Drosophila melanogaster: one gene and its partner. The protein of the gene in region 2 interacts with the protein of the main gene of each other region in a pairwise test. Each region holds a gene or a part of one and is shown on either strand. Other genes may lie near its edges. The genes, in order: CG31326 and CG18540.

Region 1 (4,660 bases), on a different chromosome or scaffold from region 2:
ATCTTTCACTTATTTTATTGGCAATGATGGATGATTGAAAGGCAAAAAAAAGTACAGATAGGTTGCTACGTGCTGACAATAAAATGTTTGTAAAAAAATAACTTTAATTGTTGAGATGTACTTCATTAATAGTTCATCTATTTTAGGATTTAGCAGCGGCCACTTTTTTTTTTTATTGGTAGAACCGATTGATTGTTCTGGCTAAAAGACACAACTGACTTTTTCGCTAACTTTCTTTAGCTAATATCTTACAAATTAATGGCCATGTGTATTGCATGTATGACATAAAAGTAAACATATATGCCCACGTATTGACTGCTAAATGATTGGCATCGGCTGAGCAAATGTTTGGGAAGCGTGCTGCACATTTAAGTACCCAATGTAATTGGCTATAAAAGGCCTGCAGTACGATATATAGACTCTTAGAGGCCTGGTATAAAGATGAAGTGCAGCGGCTTTCTAATCCTCCTGGTGGTCCAGTTTGCCTGGAATGACAGCGTTCTGGCAATAGAAACTGCTTTTGATATCTGGAATAAATTTGGAGATGGTGGAGCTCTGCCCAATGATCCAGAAAGGCTAAACGAAAAAGGTATTTCGGTTCTAAGTCCAACTAACGACCTGCAAAACAAGAACGAAGGAACGATAACGCAATTGAGGAATCTTCTTGACAATTATGTGGCAAAATTATTATCCGATTTGCCCAATACTCGGAAAAAGAAAAGGAGACAAGGCCTGCAGGAATCTCTGCAAGCTCTAACTGGTCTAGGTTTGAGCATATCTCCATTGCTAAAATTCCTAACGAACATCAAGGCAGAGGAGGAGCAACTTGTCTCGAAACTTAATGTCCAGGAGGAATGGAAGTTCTGGGCTGCCGCAAAGGTGTCGAAAGTTCAGGAGTCGACTAAAGGTCTTAGAACCGCGGAGGCTGTTTCCATCACTGAAAACTTCAACAGTCGTTACGGCCTTCGATTGCGTAGTTGTGTTGGTCTGTTTATCTGGAATCAGATTCGGTTTAACTTGGACTTGGAAAGTTCCCTAAATGGCCTGCAAAATCCAACGGAGCACTTGATCGATGTCACTGAAGGCTGTTCCAGCGTTAAGCCAAAAAAGTGCCGGCGGAACGTCAGAAGAGCTATCGATGGCATCCAGAATGCTCCACAGAATTTGCTGAATCTGCGGACTAAGGGCAACCAGTTGGAGGACATTCAACGGCAAAGTAATCAGTGTGTGGATAAAACTGTTAAGGAATACACTGAGGAGCGGGTCGAGGTAGAAAGACAGCTAGATGATATAATCGAGGATTATCTTGAGAGTGAAACATTTACCAAATAAGTCGGGATCTATACATTTAAAATCAGATATTATTTCAATAATCACTGGCGAACATATAGCAGAGACAGCACATAATTAGGAACCTTTCGCACCAATTATTATAGAAACAAATAAATAAATATGAGATCCATTAAATATGTTTTATGATAAAGGAGCAGAAAATCAAAAATTAAATCTTTTAAATACCTACTGTGAGAAAATGTTCATTCATTGTCTTTGTGCTGTTAATAAAGTTATTTTAAGAAAAGGTAAGTAATATTAATGCATTTTTTGGCTTAATGGAGCTTAGCATGTGGAAGTGCAATTTACGCTCGAGAATTTAGCTCCAAAAACTGAATACTTAAATACCCACAAAGTGGGGAGAGCCACTGACTATTGAGAGACTTAGATCGGGTATCAATCAGTGCTCATTGAGTGAGTCTTTTGAGTTTTAATGCGAGTAATTAAAATCTCTATAAAATAGACTGGAAAAGCTCAGCTCATACGTAGTTGCAATGAGTCCGCATCAGCTGGTGACCGTTCTCCTTCTGGCTTCTCTGATTAACTTGGTTCTTGGCCAGTTGCCCCGGAATGGCTGCTCTGGGCGATTTCAATACCAGGGCTACCAGGGGCAGTACATCGGTTTGGTGGAAGTTCGTCATCCGGAGGCCAATAACCAGACACTCATCCTTCAATTCTCCCAGCAGGGATATCACGATTTCGAAGTAAGATTCAGCATTATTAACTTGGAAATTCTGAACTCATAATAAGTCGCTTCTGTTATCACTTTGCTTACTTTGCGGTTGTGCAATTTCCCATGCGGCAATGAAAATTGACATTGCAAAAATATATAAACAAGCACAATAGAATGATAGAATTATTAATCAATTAATTTTTGATATTTCTTTTTTTAAGGACTATGTGGGCAGTATCTCTCTGGTGGATGATGATGAAGTGACCCAGGAAAATCTGCGTCAGGGCTTGCCGATTAGATACCGTGTGGATTTTCCTATTCCAACAATACCGCCCAAGATCACTAGCATGCAATTGAATGGCGTACAACTTTGTAGTGGCGGTGTATGTAAGTTTTTATAGTTCAATATATTTTAAATGCAATTTATGGACGTATAATTTCTAGATCCTAAGCCAAGAACCGGCATTACGCTGCGAATCACTTGGACGCCCTCCTACATATCGGTTTTCGGCGTTAATCCCCAACCTGTGCCAACCAGACCTCGACCCGCTTGGCAAGATGAAAGTCCACAGATAGACTACAGGGAAACCAGACCCAGTCAACCCAGACTAGAGGATAGCGGAGAGTTGTTTGGAAGGAGTAATGAGTCACTGCCAGCCTTCCAAAATCCCGGATGGGGTACCGCCCCTCAGCAGGCAAATCCGAATAGAGGTATTACCTCTCAGCCGGAGATACCAAGTCCCGTCCCACAACGACCGACACCAAATCCTAGTCGATCTAATGCTCCTCAGCAGGCGGTGAGAAGCCCTGTAGATCTTGTTCCCCAGCAGAACCCTTCATCCAATGGTATTCCCTGCGGTCGGGAGAGAGCTAGTACCACTCCATTGATCTTCCAAGGGAAAAGTCTTCAGCGAGGCCAGCTCCCATGGTTGGTTGCTATTTTCGAACGACGGGAGAGCAACGGACCCGCTTTCATCTGTGGAGGAACCCTCATCTCCACATCCACGGTACTATCGGCCGCCCACTGTTTTCGTGCTCCTGGAAGGGATTTGCCCGCCTCTCGGCTGGCCGTCTCCTTGGGTCGAAATACTTTGGCCATTCACTCCGATGGAGAATTTCGCGGCGTATCCCAGCTGATTATCCACGAAAACTTCCAATTCAAACAGTTTACGGAGGCCGATTTGGCGCTGGTCCGATTGGACGAACCTGTGAGGTGAGTCTATAAATTATATAAATATATTAAATATAAAAAACTACTGCTTATACTATAATAAGGTACACGGACTACATAGTACCTATTTGCCTTTGGAGCACCAGCAACCGCATGGATTTGCCCCAGGGGCTCAAGAGCTATGTTGCCGGCTGGGGACCTGATGAGACCGGCACCGGCAACACTGAAGTATCCAAGGTTACTGACCTTAATATAGTCAGCGAAGCGAACTGCGCCCTGGAGCTGCCACATGTTCTGGTCCAGCCGAGCTCCCTGTGTGCCAAGAAAACGGGAGCGGGTCCTTGTGCCAGCGATGGTGGTGGACCATTGATGCTGCGGGAACAGGACGTTTGGGTGCTGCGGGGAGTGATCTCCGGAGGTGTGATCAACGAAAAGGAAAACACCTGTGAGCTATCCAAGCCATCCGTATTCACTGATGTGGCCAAGCACATTGAATGGGTTCGCCAAAAAATGTGGAATTGAACACAAAATGAAGATTGCGAACATGAAAAGCATGCCCCCTTCTTGAAGAGATTCCCATTGATGAATGTAAAATCACGTAATCGGAAGATCCATGTATTACTGCCTACTATTGCGTTATGGGTAATTCTAAGTGGATCCATTAATCATTGAAATAATAAAGCAAAACGGCGCATCTTGAATACACTGCAAACTTTTTTGGATCTTTTGTTTCCATGAACATTTATTTTGGTTATTTTGGTTTATAAAATCCCAATTCATGCTCTTAAGCCCCAAAAAATAATTCTGAGTCAAACATAGTATTAGTCCCCCAAAACCTTTTTTTGAAGAGTATAACTACGTCACTTATTCTGATCAGGTTGGGAGAGCCAAGCAGCTTTGTTTTGAATCGGACTATTCAGCTAGATCGGAAACTAATGCGAATTGGCTGAGCTAATACCAATCATTCATCGCGCGACTCTCAATCAGTGCGGTTTAACCTCTGATTCTCGATTGGATTAAATTCGCGTCTAGCTGAATGCTGTGCGATTGCAGTCGCATTTGTTTTCCATAAATATTTACTGTTCCGGAAAGGGTGATCGCCATGCGCCAACTGCAGTTGCTTGGTTTTCTGATCGCCATACTGCAAATCAGCTATATAAGTGCCCAAAACTTGCCATATATCCAGTGTCCGATGATATTTCGGTACCTGGAGTACGACAATCAGTTCATTGGACACTTGCAGCTAACCCTGGATAGTACAAATACGGAGAACGTTGTGCGCGTTGAACTTTCCCAGCGTGGCAGAAACACCCCGGTAAGTTTTCCCAATTGTCAACTCTTTTATAAAGTTTAGTCTTTGGTTACTATAGTGTTATCAAGCATTGACCTCGCTCTCAGATTGGATGTCCGATATTTCGCAATCGATCTGGGCGAGTTCAGTGATCAAGTTGATTATCAGGGGAATTGCATGGCTGATAAGACAA
Region 2 (3,217 bases):
TGAAAATGGGGAAAACACAGTGGCGGCCACAAGTTTTTCGAGAGGCGGGTTGCGGCGGGTAGGTGCCGCATGCTGCTGTCATCAGTTGACAGCCAGCAGCAGCAGCGTCGCCTTCGTCGTTGTAGCTTTTAACAATTTGCAATAAATTAGCCGAGGCAACTGTGCAGAGTTTTCACTTGAAATGCAACACGAATTGCATTTTCAAGGGGGGAGCGAAATGAGGGGAAAGTAAACAGGAAAAAAAATGAGAGACTTTCTTTGCTTTAAGAATGTCTTGTTAGAGCAGTTTTACAACCTTATGGTTTGCACACTTGTTAGTTAATACTTTCAGCTATTTTCATTTATATGAGCATAATTTTCTTTGGCAAAAACCCTTTTTCTCAGTGCTAGCGACACTTGGTGCAATTTTTGTTCGAAGTTACTCTCTATCCCGCCAACTACCACACTCCTTTTCTTACCACAACAGTTTCCAAACATGTCTTGCCAATTTCACACTCGAACTGCCTGCCTGCCTGCCTTTCCGTCCTCCCAACTTCAGCTGGCTAAAAGCGATTTTTACCTGGCCCGGTTCATTTATTGGCCCCCGAGTCGGTCGGATTTTATGACGATCCTCTCGTCGCAGCTGGAATTTCGGCCCACACCTCGGAAATGCCCAACAGCAAAAACAGTTGGCAATAGAGTGAGAAGATGTTCTGCGATTTAATGCTCGAATATTTAGAACATTTTCGTTCTGATCCGCAGAACGACGGACACGGTGACTTCAAGATTTGGCTGGGCGGTGATGACGGCTTCGCCTTTATAGAAGCCATCTGCCAAAATATCCGGCAATCCTTGGCCGTTCAGAGCGCAGCGGGTGAAATTGTAGGTCGCCTTGGGCCAGGGTGGTACAAATTCATTTTCATAGACGGGCAAATCGGTGCAATTGCCCAGATTCGGCAACAACAGGTCCTTGTAAAAGGTATTGACATATTCGGTGAATTTCTGCGGTTGAATGGACATGGGAGTCAGTTTGTAATCGGACTCGTCACCGGAGTAACTGCTCAGAATACGCATCTCGACCTAAAAGCAGTATTTGATTTTTAAGTGCTTTTGAATCAATGATATTTGGTACAGAAATTACCATCACGCTATCGTCCACATCAATATTCCAGAAGAATGTGCCTGAAAACCCGAATTCCGACCTTGAAATGCGCTCAATTCGCAGATTCATGTCCATGGCACTGGGATTTGTGGTGGTGCCACCAATCGACAATGGCGTTGCCTCCCAGTTGGGCTGGAAACAATAAACCATATTTAAAAAAAAATAAAGAAATATTTAGGAATATTTCTTTCTTAGCATACCTTTGCCGCACAACCATTGTAAAGGTTTGCAAAAATACACACTGATAAAAGCGATGAAATGCAAAACGAAATCATTTCTGGTTAAATTGACAATATAAGTTGCAACCTACTTGCTTTTATAGTCTGTCAATTTAGATTTATCTTTTAAAAACATTTGTGACACGAAAACATTGTGTACAATTGTGCACATTGTTAGATTATTGAAGTTGGAATAGGTGTAAATCATGTCAAGCTTATCTAAATTTACTGATCGTCACGGTATCACCCATCCAAATTTAGCAAATTACACAAATACACAACGCGCAAGTCATGCTTGCATTGGCTAAAAAAATTTTCTTTCATATTTGGATATGCAGAAGTTGATAATGTAGACGATAAATTCGTTGTAAATAAAATACAAAAATATAAATTTTATAAATATTAATTTAATACAATTTAATATAAATTCATTTTACACAACATAGTACAATTTGTTAAGTAGAAAAAAAAATGTTTGAACTTCTTAAGAGCCGCATATAATATAATATTAAATAACCTTTGGCGAGACCTTAACAATCAGGGTGAAACCCCAATCCACCTGTCCTGTCATTTTATACTCTAGCTTGTAGAAACCCTCTGGTGCAATATCTGGCAGTCCCTCGCCACTGGCCACACATTTGTCCAACTTGTAAACATTTCGTGGCCATGGTGGCACAAAATCGCCATCGAACTGCACCATATTGGAGCAATGGCCCACATTCTTGATGAACGCGTCCTTGTAGAAACCGTTTAGATATTCGAAAAATGGCTGTTTAGGAATGGACCAGGGCATCATTTTGTAATCGTCTTCGTCACCCGATGAGCAGTGATGAACGTCTGCCTCCACCTGTCCAGCGATTAATAACCATTTTCTTAATTAATAGAAACTTGATATTAAAATCAATATCTCAACCATAGTGTCCTTATCCACATCGTAGTTCCAGTCCAGTGTCATGGAAAATGCATAATCGCTGCGCCCAAGTCGATCAATTTTTGTGGTGATCTTCAAGAGACTCTCATCTGAGCTATAGGATGTCAATGATAAGGGCTCATACTCCCAGTTACGCTGTGGAATGAGCACAGAAATTATAAGTATCCTATTTTGTTAGAATATCCTGGCATACTCCTGCTTTGCAGCCATCGATCAGCAGCGTAGCGAGCAAAAATAGCAACGAACAACACGAAATCATTTAGCCAGACTTTAAACTTCATCAACTTGCAATTTAGTTGCATTTATATAGCAAACTGCAGTGGATTGCATGTATTAATTATATAACTCCCTGTTACATTTTGGGCTAACCATGTCAAACAAGACTGCATGCCAAAAACATGAAAAAATGTGTGGACTTTGAATATTAAATATGAATTTTGTTTATTGGTTGGTCTTTAGCTACAATTGAGCAAACTTACAAATGTATATTAAGTATTTGAGAAATGTGAATTTTTTTACACAATAACTGAAAATTCTCTTCCACTAGTAATTGTTACTGATCTTGAATTTTTCTTGAATATTTCTTACCTCCTTCAAGGACACTCATTTCTTATCGAAACAGCTAAAATATTTCAAATTTTTACCATTGATTTTATTAAACATAAGCGCAGTTAAAAAAAAAATGTGTTTATCTAAGATAATGGTTTTTACATTAATTTGGGTGTGATTTTAAAAACTGACGTAGTGTTCCATGTGGGTTGACCTGGTCCATAGCATTTGATCACAATCAGATAAAAACCGGCAGGAACAATTTCTGGCAACCCATCGCCATCGATCACGCATTTGTTGCCAAAATAGGTCTGCTTTGGCAATGGCGGTTGGAATTTACCCTCGAATTGCGGAATATTGGAACAGTGCTTAAAGTTC

Evidence for each region.
Region 1: the proteins of CG18540 (region 2) and CG31326 interact in a two-hybrid assay, tested with the Drosophila melanogaster proteins (one large-scale study listed by BioGRID).

What each region holds. Positions count from the first base shown.
Region 1 is NT_033777.3:14,217,361-14,222,020, reverse strand, and holds CG31326 (uncharacterized protein), read left to right. Parts: upstream 1-1,815; 5' UTR 1,816-1,826; coding exon 1,827-2,036; intron 2,037-2,226; coding exon 2,227-2,392; intron 2,393-2,449; coding exon 2,450-3,218; intron 3,219-3,280; coding exon 3,281-3,698; 3' UTR 3,699-3,885; downstream 3,886-4,660. Other genes in the region: CG33109 (uncharacterized protein), read left to right, coding at 442-1,332; CG9649 (uncharacterized protein), read left to right, coding at 4,279-4,491.
Region 2 is NT_033778.4:18,297,532-18,300,748, reverse strand, and holds CG18540 (uncharacterized protein), read right to left. Parts: upstream 1,433-3,217; 5' UTR 1,417-1,432; coding exon 1,342-1,416; intron 1,274-1,341; coding exon 1,121-1,273; intron 1,060-1,120; coding exon 715-1,059; 3' UTR 677-714; downstream 1-676. Other genes in the region: CG18539 (uncharacterized protein), read right to left, coding at 1,868-2,206, 2,273-2,425, 2,484-2,549; CG18538 (uncharacterized protein), read right to left, coding at 2,998-3,217.